4 linked regions of the Drosophila melanogaster genome follow. The protein of the gene in region 3 interacts with the protein of the main gene of each other region in a pairwise test. Each region holds a gene or a part of one and is shown on either strand. Other genes may lie near its edges. The genes, in order: CG9514, CG6337, CG11269 and CG11404.

Region 1 (4,765 bases), on a different chromosome or scaffold from region 3:
ACTTTTTGGCGTAAATTTCAGTCTGAAAATATGAATCAATTTCATTTAATACAACATTGCTATTAACTATCGTATAAAATGCATTTATATTATTAAATTCATATGTTCGAAAGGAATATTAAAGCGGCCTTCTCTTTGAAATTAGTCCCCATTTCGCCTTAATCCCTCCCGGATATCACATTGTATAAAAATGCACAATGCAACTAGGAAGTCGTATGGAATGCAAAAATATGACTATCTATATCCCCACGAAATACATAACTTGGTGTTTTTCGGGACCACCGTCAAAAACATCACCCCATAGACAGAAATTGAAGCAATTTTCGTGGTTCCATTGAATGTCGATTAATACCACAAACTAGTTGCGTTCAATATCCGTTCGATATCAGGTGTGTAAAGTAATGTAATGACAATTACTTGGCAAAAATCGTGTTGTGGTTTGTCAATTGGCAAATACACACTGATCGAAATAAAAATAAAAAAAACCGGTTAAACAATGAAAACAATCAACCAACAACTAAATGCCACAAATTTCACTTTGATCTTCACTTTTGTATTCAACTCTTCGGCTTCTTCAATGCCAAAAACTGGTCAATTGATTGTGGTTCTTCTGCCAGCTGTCTTTTCAAGTCAAACTCAAAGCCGATAACGTGTTGTAAGTACAGTGAAGATTGTCCAAATGAAGTTATTAATGAACATGTTAGGGGTACGTCAAATATTAAATGATTCGAAAAATATCTAGAGTTACATACAAATTACTGAATAATGTACTAAAGTTTTTGGAAATTCAGAAATCATTTAAATGAATCGGTTGTGGCTTAGTACCTTGCTAAAAAAGCATATGCGAAGCGGAATCGGTTAGTATCGGGTAAAAACATATGGTAAGCCTTAGACTTTACACATTTTCAGCTATCGATGTTCGACTGTTCATCTTGTTGTTGTCTTTACTTAAAAGGCTTACGTGCGCAATCCCAACTACCCAACTGCCTGAGTAACTCGAAGTTGAAACCCGAATTTCGACTCAAAATCGAGCCCATCGTTCGCGGAGAGAAGTGCACATAACCGTAAAGTGAGCATGAAGGTCGTCTGGCGTCTGCAAGGAAATTCGAAATCGAAGAAGAAAAAAGAAAGAGGCGGTGCTGAAGGAAAAAACCGCAAATGTCAGATATATCTACGCAAGTGTTTGTGAGTGAGAGGCAGGAGCTGCAAGCGGTTAATTGTAACCGTTTCGCAATGCACAGCATCAGCCATCAACCGCAACCGCATGGCATATACATATGCATGTGACTGTACATGTGAGTATTGATGTGCTCGTGCGTGTGGGAGAGTGCGAAAGAGAGGCTTGCGAATCGGTAATCGTTTCATATTGCAAAATGAAGGCAAACGAAACGGTTCGTTTTTTAAAGATTTTGATATATTATTATATATTGTTCTTAAAAAGCCATGTAGAACAGTTTGATTTTCATAGGATTTAATAAAAACAAATGCAGTCTTATAATAAAAAATTATATATACGGATGCAAAAACAAGCAAATTAAATCCAATTAAACGTATGTGCCAATGTTTGTGATCAAAAACTGTTTTTAAAAGTCAGCTGCCGCGGAAAATGCAGTTGGATTTGCTGGAGAAAAACGTGCGCATGCGCAACCGATTTGCTGGCAGCGACGCCGGCGTCCTCTGCCACGGCTACCGCCTCTGCCGGCGCTGCAGCAGCGGAGACAAAACGTCGCAGGCCAGCTTTTGTGGCTCAGAAACGCAGCGACTGCCAACCGAGGCACACACGAAAACGGGCTGGCGAGGCGAATTATCCAGTGAACCGGTTAACCGATTATCCATTATCCATTATTGTACGATTACCCATAACCGATACCAAAATCAGAGCGCGCGCGGCCTAGCTAACTAATTTCAATTACAATTTATTTATTTTTGTTTCTGTTTACTCAATGTGTTTACGAGGCCTAAATGAAAGTGCAGAAAGGCAAGTGACTTTGAATGCGAACGTGACGATGGCACAGAGAGAAAATATCACAATAATAGTCCATGAAAAGCAGTAAACGAATAATAACCCATTCTTCACCCTACAAGCTTAAAATATTATTAACAGCTTTTTCATCTGTAAAGCATCGCAATCACCATGTTGTTTTTAAGCTAGAACTTCTCCATTTAAACGCTTCATTTTTCAATATACATGTTGAGAAACTTGAAATAACCGTATTGTGATGTTTTTTTTCCCAGTGTGCTTTGATAGTGAATGCAAAAATTCAACAAAAGTGGCACGAATAACTACTCATCGCAATGCAGTCACAGCAATAGAGCGAAACTAAACCTTAGGAAACGCCCAAAGAAATTCAAGAAAGCAAGGAAGGGCAATCCTTCCCTGAAAAAAATTGTCCCAGTAAACAGATCCCCCTCCTAAAATCATGGTTGTAGTTCCAGCTCTAGGCGCCGCCGCCGTTTCCGTGGGCGGTCTGCTCTTCAAGGCGAGTGCCGCATCTAAGGCGGCGGCGGCAGCGGGCGTAGCAGCGGCAGGAGCCTCCAAATTGGGCCTGGCCATCGCCGGTGCTATCAAACTGGCCACCGCTGTTATTGGCGTTGGTAAACTGACCATATTGCCCTTTCTGATAGCGGCTATAGCCTACTATAATTACGATCTCTTCGATCCGGAGAATCGACCATTCAACGTGCAGCAAGTGGATTTGGCCTATGATTTCATCATCATCGGTGGCGGTTCGGCGGGTACTGTTCTGGCCTCCAGACTATCGGAGATACCGCACTGGAAGATCCTGCTCCTGGAGGCCGGTGGACATGAGACGGAAATCTCCGATGTGCCGCTGTTGTCGTTATATTTGCATAAAAGCAAAATGGATTGGAAGTATCGGTGAGTCAATGTGTTGAGAAAATTCAAGATTGTACATTTTCAAAAACTATACATGTCTAAAAATCAAATACAATTGTATTGAAAAGAAGTTGTTACTCAAATTGAGTTGTGATTATTGTTCTTCTTTCAATTGTATATAAATCGTGTACCTTCTAACCTCAGCATATTTTTAATTCTACCTACACTTAATTCTTTTAAATATATATATAAATGTTTACTTCCTTATTTCGCCTGGTAAAATGTGAAATATTTTTCTACAATTTTACTGGGTCAAATAGTTGGCCTTAGCAGTGGCCGGGCGTGCCCTTTGCTTTCGCCCTTTTTTTTTTTTTGGCCAGCTCATCCCGATGACGTTGCCATTTTTCCAAAGTTGGCAACGAATTCTGTCCATATGCTAATCCGCATCGATGAGTTGTAGTCATTAGTATTCGGAATAGACCAAATAGACAGCTCAACTTGAATGGGTTGCGGGTTCAGACGACCCAAGACGATGATCATGATGATGATGATATGATGGTGCCAAAGGCCGGATTCGTTTAGTTAGCAACCGCCTGCCAAATTTCAGACTATTTGCAAGCTGTCTTCACACGCAAACAGTGAAACGATTTCAGCATTCGTGGAAAAGAAAGGAAAAATGCACTGACTTATAAGATTTACTTACATCAAATTAACAGGAAAGTCAACATGTTGGATTTAGTTTTTGGGGAAAACCATTGGGAAATATTTGGTGGCTCCTTAAGAGCGCTATTAAAATTATTAATAAATAATATTAAATTGAAAGTTATGCATTAGATCGTATTGTTTAAGCTCAAGTTTTAATAGGTCATTCATTTTTCAGCATATTGAAAGACATTTCCTTCTCATAGCACCATTAACACAGCAATTACTTTACGACAGTTTTCATTGCATTTCTCTTGATTTGTGGCTTCTGCTCTCCAGTGATCCCATTTCTTCGATCTTTCACTTTTCTCCGGCCCACTTTCATTTCCCGGCTCATCCCCCCACCATCCAGAATGTTCCAATTAGATAAAGACAAACGTAGACCATTACCATTTACCAGTATCATCTCGATGGATAATCTTCCAATTTTTTTGTTTTTCTGGCTGTGTCTCGCTTTCAAATAGCAATTAAGTGCGGCTTTATATGGCCGCTTGAGCATCCATTAACCAGAAATTTCGGCTTAACAATAAATGGAAAATGATCAGTGCTTCTGAGAGACTGATTCGAATTAGAACGGGCTACCGTTAGGCAGGCCTTTTGGACCCGAGGCTTCTACTTTTTTAGATTTTATTTTATTTTATTTATTTTTTGTTTTTGGGGTGGGCCCCACTGATTTCATTCAGATCGTTTTCTATCTCACGGCATTTCATTAATAACAGCTGATGCCGATGATCAACGGCACCCTGTGGCCACCGGCTCTCAAATTAACAAATCGAACTTCACTGCTTAATTATTCATGAGCTTTGGCATTTTTTTTTTTTTTTTTGTTTTTTTTTCTTGGAATTTTGTTCGAGCGTGTTACCAATACCGTAATCCATTTAACTGTTTAATGTGACAGAAGGCTGGGTGTTTTGGGTTGGGTCTATAGGCCTAGCGGCGATTTGCGTTCGGTTTTCTTTATGAGTCTTCTTCGCTCTTTTTGGCTTAAAGTTTCACTTTCAGAATTCCATTCAATTCCATTAGTATTCCCATTCCCTTTCATTGTCTTTCGTTTTCATACAATTCCTTTTCTTTTTTACATTCCCATTCCTATTCCATTATATTTTGGCATAATTGAATGCAATATGCGGTTAAGTGCATGCGAATTAAATCATAGGGTGCAAAACACAGTAAACAATGTAAGCACACCGCGAAATAAGTACACATTGCAGTATACGATTATTATGC
Region 2 (3,976 bases), 8.3 Mb from region 3:
TAATCATGCGCTGTCTTAATTTCTCAACTTTATTCGATCTTACCAAATTAAATAGACTTTTGAAACTAGCAGAGCATTCGCTGTTCGTATTTCCGGTCTGTTTTACGAATTCGATCACCGATGAGACGTGAATAATTACTGGGTGAATGAGCTAATTTGCATATGCTTAGCATAATTACATTAGTGCAAGCATTCGATTCGGATGAATTTCGAAATGTATGAATGATTTCGCGGCTTCGTCTCTCCTTTTATTTCCTCAGCTCCCAAATTGGCTCCATCGAGGGCCCAAATAAATCAAAATCAAATCTAGATTAGGCAACCGCAGGCTAAGATTTCACTTTCGTTGCCATAAAATACTGATCACATGCTGTGCCCGGTGAAAGGCGATGGATTCCCCTGTTTAAAATCAAATTTCGAGTCGAATGTAAGCAATTGCAGTTCTCTTGTCTTCGACGGACCATTATGAATCGAAAAATAACAACACACACGACACAATATGTTGAAAAGATCGACTTAATCACCTTTTATGGATATCTGGGAATGATATGTTCAAAACACCTTCCGCGTTCACAAATCACAAAACTATTCGAAGATGCTGAAGACTCGAAGACCGGCGAGATTATAAGCGGCGCTCGACCCGCACACCTTGGTTTTATAGAGTCTGGAGCTGGACCGTGGGACATATGGCCAAAACTGGATGGGCCACCAATTTGAAACTTTTGGAATACCGACAAGAGCATATTCATCTTCATTTCGACGGGCTATCTGGTTTATGGGTCTATAGCTGTCTCCATTATATGCATGCTTAGTAATTGTCGATTGCCTAATGTGTTGGTGGCTATAACAACGCATATTAACTCATTTGAAACAAAAGAGAAAATAGTCAAACATGTTTTTAAATAGTTAATAATTGATGAGATCGAAGTCACAGTTGTAGCGCCTATAGGATTACAAATTTCAATGCAGCAAGCAAAGTTTTAGGAAAGTTTTTAAAGCGTCTCTAAGTAGTTTGTACTATTATATCCCTTGTAAATAAATAACACTTTGATTTTTATGTAAATAATACAATTACAGAATGATAAAGATGCAGACGGATGAATAATGGTCTCGACTTTCAATAACTATAAATTGAAATTGAACCATGAAGAGATTGATTAGTGGCCAATTTATTTGCATTTCAATTAACAGATTCGTGGAATCTGAATTTGTTGTTGCGTCTACTAAAAAGTTCATTGACTGCTGAAATCCCTTATGGACTTACCTACATATTTGCAAAATTTCAAGATGATCCCTCATTACTACTTCGAATATATACTACCTGTAGTATATGCTAGACTACCGCAATGGAAATTACCAAACAACTCACTTAGCACTTGGTTTACAGCAATTTGGCCAAGTCTTCCAACGGGCCTATCTATCTATCTGTCTATGTATCTTTCCATCTACGTATCTATCTATCAACGCTGTTGCAACTTTTATGGGCGCCACAAAGTATGACTGTGATTAATCATGCCTGCGCTGAAGACAAAACCTGAAGACTAAACGATAAGTTGGCATTAGAGGGGCGTTTACGATGCTCCATGGGCATATGGGCTTGGGTGTTTTTTTCTGAACTGGGCCAGTGGGGATTTCGAATTAACAGAGATACGAGAACCCACCGCCGAATCGCAACGATACGAAACGGGGCATTTGACAAGTTTATTGGGCAAACAAAGCGCACCCCGACTTTTCCTACCAACGTCGGCTTATCGAGGAGACCCAACCCGGAATATGAATACTACGGATAGTACGTTTGAGTGCTGCTGGCCAAGTGCGAATTCAAGGCCTCGTAGAAATCTACGAGTATTTGCACTTTTCTTGCGAAAGTAAGTCGCTTTGGTAAACTTCTATTTGCGTTTGCAATCAGAAGGAGAGTTTGCCGGTGCCTATAAAAGATCGTTCCATGGTTCTGGCGGCATTAGTTGGTGCGGATTTGGGTTTTCGTCATGTTCAAGTTGCTACTTTGCTGCCTTCTACTAACCATCGACAGTGGATGGGCCTTTAATCATGGCCAGGATCTAGTGGACTTTCAAACTTACGAGGTATGTGAGTCATCAAGAAAACAAAGTCTGGATGGGATTTAATTAGAAATTATATCTTGTATCTTATGGCATTGAAAAGGATTGTATTGAGTAATGGAATTCAAATCTTTCCATTTACAGGACAATTTCAACAAGACCTATGCCTCAACTTCGGCTCGCAACTTCGCCAACTACTACTTCATCTACAACCGCAACCAGGTGGCGCAGCACAATGCCCAGGCCGATAGGAATCGCACCACCTACCGCGAGGCAGTGAATCAGTTCTCGGACATCCGGCTCATCCAGTTCGCAGCCCTGCTGCCCAAAGCCGTGAATACGGTGACCTCGGCGGCCAGTGATCCACCGGCCAGTCAAGCGGCATCTGCCAGCTTTGACATTATCACGGATTTCGGACTCACCGTGGCGGTGGAGGATCAGGGCGTGAACTGCAGCAGTAGTTGGGCCTATGCCACCGCCAAGGCCGTGGAGATCATGAATGCCGTGCAGACAGCCAATCCTCTGCCCTCGTCCTTGTCCGCCCAGCAGCTGCTGGACTGTGCGGGCATGGGCACCGGATGCAGCACCCAGACGCCCCTGGCTGCCCTCAACTATCTCACCCAGCTGACAGATGCGTATCTCTATCCGGAGGTGGACTATCCGAATAACAATAGCCTGAAAACGCCGGGTATGTGCCAGCCCCCATCCTCTGTGTCAGTGGGCGTGAAGTTGGCCGGCTATTCCACGGTGGCCGACAACGATGATGCCGCCGTAATGCGTTACGTATCGAATGGATTCCCCGTCATAGTCGAGTACAATCCGGCTACCTTTGGATTCATGCAGTACTCCAGTGGCGTCTATGTCCAGGAGACGCGTGCCCTGACCAATCCAAAGAGCTCACAGTTCCTGGTGGTCGTGGGCTACGATCACGACGTGGACTCCAATCTGGACTACTGGCGCTGCCTGAACTCCTTCGGCGACACGTGGGGCGAGGAGGGTTACATCAGGATCGTGCGCAGGTCCAATCAGCCCATTGCCAAGAATGCCGTCTTTCCCAGTGCGCTTGCCTAAGAAGGATTCCGATTTGACCTTATTTCAAGTTAATAAACTTAAGTTTTATGTGTAAATTTTTATATGATGATTTTGTTTCGGATTCAGTAGATGCTGTAAGTTCTTTAAAAAAACTTAATGCTAGTAAGCAATACTATTATTATTATTATAGACGCATTATCTTTAAATCAACTAGAATTCGAGTAACAGATTCGGGAATATCTATAATAACACTATGATGATACCTTAAGAGTGTGCCTATCTATATCTATGATAGTTCATAGAATAGAAGAATAGTAATAGAACCATCCAAGAAATAGATTTGGGAATATCTCAAATAAAGCTAAGATAATTCATCGAGATCTTGAATATTACATAAAGAGTAATCTTGAAAAAAAATCCCCCGTCTTCTACCAAAAAGTATCGTTTGGTTTTTTGTTGTGAAAGCTTACAGCTTTTTTGTCTCCATTTATTGAATTTACCATTTTATTTAGTTTATTTATTGATTTTTCATCTACAAGCGGAGCTTTACAGACTTAAATGCTAAAAATTAACAAGTTCACTTTATTTTCTTTTCTTTTCTTGTTTTTCGCATCTTTGATCTGCTTATGGATTTTATACTATTATCTTTGCAGTGTTTTCTTTTTCTGTTATGTTTCTCTTGCATAATAAATAAGTTTCCCATTTTGTTGCTATCCGTGTTGCTGTGATATAAAAACGAAAGGAAATTATATAGATATATATAATATTTAGGTATTATATTTATGGTTATAGAATATTCGACTCAGCCAGCGCAGACAAAAGCTTCTTTTTTTTGGTGTGTGTTCTTTCTGTAGATTTCTTAATCTTAGTTCTCGTAAATTTTTTAA
Region 3 (2,596 bases):
AAATGAATTATTCTCTTATCAGTGTGTACATTATATTTTCATAAAGCACAAATAAAATTCAGTGAAGACATTAACAAATTCAAGCTAAAAGTTAAACTGAAAGCTAAACACTTTTTTTTGTTGAAATTGCAATTTTTTTTATTATAAATGTTTGTACTGATAATTGCGCTTACAACAAAAACGAATACACAAATCAAAGCAAGTGTCTGTGTGATTGTAAAGAAGAATGTGCTAAGCAAATAAGGCAAATAACAACCATATAACTGTAACTGAAATCCCACACTGAGAAAATAATCAGCGAAGAATAATATTTTGACATCCGTCTCTTGAAATATAAGATCAAACTTTAGGTTAATACTCATTAGAAATATATCAATAAGCTATGAAATATCATTTAAATAAAAATGTAGTGATCTTATTTTCATTTTTCTTCGTGCTCTCATAAGACAAGTTGATTGATTTGCGCAAAGGGAATTCGAGACACTTAAGATATTACCAAGTTCAGTGAGCAACCGCCCTAATGTCAAGGTCTTTCGCTTGGGGATCGGGTTTTAACCTAATGGACTTGACCCCCATTTTCTGTGGCTGTACGAAATCCGCAGCTTAAGTTACCAGCAAAACATATTTACTCAATTAGAGCTGACACCTATTATGTCTCAAGTTGCAACACGTGGTGCAATAAGTAAAAAATATTTTATCAATTCTGTTTAATTTTCCTAATTTTTGATTTCTCTCTAATCGTGTCTAGTAACCCATAAAACTAACGACAATTCGCATAAACAAACATAATAAAGGAAACGTTAGTAAAACAACAGAGTGTAAAAAAGGTTTAGCAACCGCGAAAACGACTTACGAATTTTCACAACAACTTGATGTTTTGTAACGGAGTTTCAAGAAACTAGTAAAAACTTTATTGTGAATTCTTCTGCTGCTTCTTCTTTGCAAGTGTGGCAAAAATTTTGTTGCTCTGCGGATTTATCGAGAACATCAACCACTCACGGTAAGTTGTGCTAATTATTGCTTAAACTTATTTAGTTGGCTATTTTTATTGCAATTTCTTGAGCATGATTCACAAGGGGAATTCAAATCAGAGGCTGCCCTTTAATGAATCAGCTACTTGGTTGGCATGGCCTACATTCAGTTCTCTAAAAATCACTTCTGATATATAAATACGCAGAACTAAATGCAGCCACTGATTTGAAATATCAAATATATTGCAGGTCTTCGTTCTGCATAAGCTTGATGTTCTGAAGTATATTGTATACATCGTTTTTTTGACGTGCTTTTCAAGTGTTAATAAGTTGAGCTGCTTCTATATCATACTCATATGTATGTGTGCAAATGATATATCTGTCAGTTGTCCATCATTGGCTAAGATCAAATCCGAATCTAAGCCATTTCGAGTTGAACAAACCCAATCGCAACGCCGCCGAAAGCGAGAGGCACGGGTACGTGAACTCCATATTCCGACCACTCTGATCTAATGCCGCTGAAATCGCACAAGGTTGTACTTGTGTACGAGCGTATGTAGATAGATGGATGAATAGTATGTGGTCCAATACATTCCGATTTCGATTTCGGATTCGGTTTCGCTTTCGAAGTCGGCTTAAACTTGGCACCTGTTGCGGTCAGAGCAACACTCGACTACACTGTCGCACAAAGTTCGCATAGAATTGAATCGAGCTTGAAAATGTTTTGTGGTCGCAAGTGCTGTCTGTTCTGCCTGTTCATGAGCGCCTGGGGCTTCTTGATGCTGAATCTGCTGGGTATCTTCTTCTACGTCCAGTCACTGATGCTCCTGGAGTCCCTGCCCTTGCCCCACCACTTCCCCAGTCAGGAGGCCTTCAAGGAGCAGGCGGACGAGGCCTACCAGGACGTGTCCACACGGTGCTTTGTAGCCGCCGTTTTCTATCTGGGATTCGTCTTCATTGCGATAGTGGCCATTCGTCGGGATAACAAGAGAAGGAAGCGACTCTACAAGCGGGGTCCCGGTCACTTGCGATTCCGTCGTTGATTTGTATGATTGGTTATTGAATAAACAATTTATTTTCATGGTTCCAATTGCATTTCACCCACTCAGCGACGTCCACCCACTTGTTGGTTCGAAAGATCGAAAGAACCAGTTTGTTGACCGCATTCTGCGATTAGCCTTAACTTCTTTATCGCCAAGCCACTTTTCGATTTCAAGTCTGGCTGACTGTTGTCCACTCCGCATTATGCATTCGTCTCGGACCAACCGATTTTTGACAGCGCACGTGACACCTTCACCGAGGTGTGTTCTCTTTTGGGCATCATAAATTTCCGTGAAATTCTCTTTCCGAAACATGCTAATGGGAATGGGGTGTGGGTTCCCAGTTCTGGCTATTCCCCCCCCTTTCACCTCTATACCGTAGTCTAGTCTACACCGGGGTTATGTATCTTGTTCTTATCGACCGAGCTTTTGTGTCTTACACGAAAACCGTTGTGTAAATTATCGTACACGATTTTCTAGTTGTACGCTTGTGTATCTGGCTTGTTATCACCACCAACCAAGTGCAGTCTGCTGAAAACTGGTTCACTGCATTTACTCATTTTTTCGGGAACTCGGGTTAACTGA
Region 4 (3,431 bases), on a different chromosome or scaffold from region 3:
AAGCTAATTCCGGAATCCTCGTCAATAGAAACGGTTTCAAATTAATTAATAAAATTCTCGTTTCAAGTGGGCCAGCTAACAAACAAACAGGCAAACTAGAATGAAAAGACTTGCGTTGAAAACGAATGTTGGTGAAGAAGTTGCTTATGCCAAGGCACGTGTGTGTGGGGCTGCTGTTTCCAAAAATGCCCTCTAACAGTCAACCACCTCAGAAACTGTTTGTTGCCCAAACCAAAGAGCAAATACTTCAATAAACGAAATTAAATATTTGAGCATGGATTGAAACATTTTCCTCAGCTTTTAAGGCGGACACAACAGGGTAAATCGAAAAAGAATTGAACACATTATGCCTCGCATTGGCAACAAATTAAATAATTGCTGCAAAAAGTTTGCCATCCGCAAATATTTCGACAAATAAACGTAAATAAACCATGGGTTCTCTAGACGCTTTTTCGGTATTGTTAGAATTTTTGAACAAATGTTGCCTTTTGTTAACTCACTTAGACATCCTTCGCACCAGTTCTGGCTTTGGCCGTTCCCGTTTTGTCAAATATTTTGTTTGCCACATTGTTTAACTTTTGACCCGATTCGTCCGCCTTGCTCCATGGTTCCTCTGTAATTAGACTTTAATTGAGCAATTGTAACCATCTCAGGCGAGTGTAATTCATTGGCGTTTTTGCCAAAATTGAGCCTGAGTTCCAAAGCCAACACCTTTTTGATGTCTAACCCTGGGCAAAGGAGAAAAGGCAGCATTTTGGATCTGAATCAAACTAATTAGGCGCAAACTTAATTAATATTTGATGTTTTTTTTACCAGTTTGTCTTATTACCATGACGGCTCGGCCAAAATCGCTCCAGACCTTCTCAAACCTTAAGTGGCCCTCGTCATTTGCCTGGCGACAGACAGAAGAAGCATAATGATAACTTTAGATGATATTTCGGGATTGGGCTTAATTTGGCTGAGTTTGAAAACATTTGATAAACTTGTCGCTAGGCAGGTGCCATCGCAGAAAGGGATTCGCAATATGCCTACTGATTTTGTGGGCATGTAGAGCGATTCAAATCACAAAATGGTAAGGTCAGATGAGGCGCAAAAGTTTTTCTAATGTTTATTGGCGAACTTTTTCATTTTTTACAACTTTTGTAGAAGTTTACGTCGTACATTTCCAACCCCCCGATTGCATTCTGCCTTTTCTGTTGTTGCCTAGGATCGTCCCCGGTCATTTTAAAGTTTAAATTATACTAGGGGGGAGTCTGAGGTCTGAGTGGTCTGGAATCCAACGATTGTCAGCACATTAGGCCTACGAAGTTGTCGAAGAGGAGTGGTGGGCAGCCATACTTGGAATTAAACTTTTATCGCATCAATTCCGAGAGTTTTTCCGCGTTTCCATGGCAAAGTTTCATTGTTGGAGAATTTTCTGATATTAATTTCTTTATTTAAAATCTCCCTAGTCGCCGAGATAAGGCGAATAAACGGTACTCACCCTTCTGGGGATAGGTGCCACTTACCTGCAAGTGAAGAAAAATATATGAAAACAAGAGAGAATGCTATAGTCGAGTTCCCCGACTATCAGATACCCGTTAATCAGCTAGTGTGATTGCGAACGCAAAATTTTATAATTTTTCTGAGATATCGATAGATAATTGGGAAAAAAATGATAAAAAATTTAAAAATTGCTTAAAAGTGTGGGCGTGGCCGGCTTAGCGGCGTTTTTAGCAAATCGATAAAAATTTACAAGACTAAAACATTATGAAAAAATATCGAAAAAATTTTCTATAATTTGGGCGTGGCAGTTTTATGCGGTCTAAGTGTGTAAGAATGGGCGATAGAAATCGATATAAATTTACAAGACTAATAAAAATGTGAAAAGAGATCAACACATCTACTCTGCGAGTAACGGGTATAGTTACAATATTTGGAAGTTCTAGCTAGAGAAAACGATATTTTTTAGTCAGCAATATAGTAAAGTAGTAAGGGATCTACCCTTCAAAGTCTTATATAACTATTGTATATTTTTTACAGCCGCAACATGATTTTTATGCCTGCTCTAAACTTGCTTGTGTACAACGTACTTGTAGGTTACATAAGCATGGAAATCAATCGAATCATAAATGGTAAGTTCTTTGTAAGGACCATCTCCTAATCACTGAAGTCTTTTTAGTTTCTACAGCCCAGACAAGTCTTTGGCAGAATATTCCTATTATCGGCCAGATGTTCGCTCCGTTACAACCGGAAACCAATTATGGAGTGGAGTTCGGGGAAAGCATGTGGGACTTTAACCTATATGTAAACATCTTACTGCTTCTCCCCGCATTTTTTCAGGTAAAAGACCACATAACTCGGGGACCACATTAATGTACCGAATTCACAACCAGATCTATCACATCTCCTTGCTGGTGGCGATTGTTCTCATGTGGAACTGCTACCTTCACCAGTGTCTGGCTGCTTTCCACCTGAAGATGGTGTGGCACTTGTGGTGGAGCGACCTATGCTGGAGCTACTACGCTTCTCTTGTCCTTTTCGGATTCCTGTTGACCATGCTGCACTTTAGTCTGATTATAGCAACCGTTATGTATCAGATGCAGATCGACGGAGATCCCAAACCTCGGATCCAGTCCGAGGCTCTCCCAGAGCAGCAGCCACATCCCGCAGAGGAAATTCAGGAACGAATGGCAATGGCCCAGACCATTAAGATCTAAAAAATCAGACACTAAACGACGGAGCACAGGTTCAGCCGCCTTTAAGTGGGTCACCATCAGTCAGGGGCTTAACCTTGCCGCATCTACAAATACACTGGGTCGGTGGTTCAACTAATAAATATGCCAGAAAACACCAGACACACAGATACCCCGCACGCACACACCAGCACACTACCGCAGACCAGGACATGTACAAATGAATCGCAGCTGAGGGCCGGTCGAGCATCGGGAAATAAAACCATTAAATATTTGCGGTTAAACGCACCAAAAACAAACCGCAAAAGTAAATCATATCCAGAGCAGGCATTGGACATGGCCAAGCATCCGAGGCAAAGAATTTCTCTTGCCTCACCCGACCGTCGTCCGGCATTTGTAGGCAAAAATATTAGATTAGAAATTAGAAAGGCATGGACATGCCCCGGATTGGATTGAGATTGGGCAGGCAGCAGACCAGAGCGCCATTAAATTGGGGATGGGATGCAGGGCAGGAAACTGACTGCCAACGGCCTGCCAAAAATTCCAAATGGTCCATGGCCAAGAAGCATAAATCATTGAAACTGACATTTCACCATTTCACTGGATTTGTATGTATATGCCAAAGGTTTGGCCAATTCTTGGGGAAGAAAGTGTTTTTTGGTGGTCGAGGAATTTGCATAGATATCCGTCGTTTTTCCCAAGGAACTACTGGGACAATCGCCCTGGAGTCGAAAATATGGATCCCTGTGTGTCCTT

What was found.
Region 1: the proteins of CG11269 (region 3) and CG9514 interact in a two-hybrid assay, tested with the Drosophila melanogaster proteins (one large-scale study listed by BioGRID).
Region 2: the proteins of CG11269 (region 3) and CG6337 interact in a two-hybrid assay, tested with the Drosophila melanogaster proteins (one large-scale study listed by BioGRID).
Region 4: the proteins of CG11269 (region 3) and CG11404 interact in a two-hybrid assay, tested with the Drosophila melanogaster proteins (one large-scale study listed by BioGRID).

Annotation. Positions count from the first base shown.
Region 1 is NC_004354.4:14,893,873-14,898,637, reverse strand, and holds the start of CG9514 (uncharacterized protein), read left to right. Parts: upstream 1-1,746; 5' UTR 1,747-1,978; intron 1,979-2,235; 5' UTR 2,236-2,420; coding exon 2,421-2,878; intron 2,879-4,765.
Region 2 is NT_033778.4:13,833,072-13,837,047, reverse strand, and holds CG6337 (uncharacterized protein), read left to right. Parts: upstream 1-1,951; 5' UTR 1,952-1,985; coding exon 1,986-2,081; intron 2,082-2,201; coding exon 2,202-3,128; 3' UTR 3,129-3,473; downstream 3,474-3,976.
Region 3 is NT_033778.4:22,137,252-22,139,847, forward strand, and holds CG11269 (uncharacterized protein), read left to right. Parts: upstream 1-1,643; 5' UTR 1,644-1,690; coding exon 1,691-2,014; 3' UTR 2,015-2,044; downstream 2,045-2,596.
Region 4 is NT_037436.4:22,546,431-22,549,861, forward strand, and holds CG11404 (uncharacterized protein), read left to right. Parts: upstream 1-2,006; 5' UTR 2,007-2,029; coding exon 2,030-2,114; intron 2,115-2,161; coding exon 2,162-2,322; intron 2,323-2,375; coding exon 2,376-2,699; 3' UTR 2,700-2,912; downstream 2,913-3,431.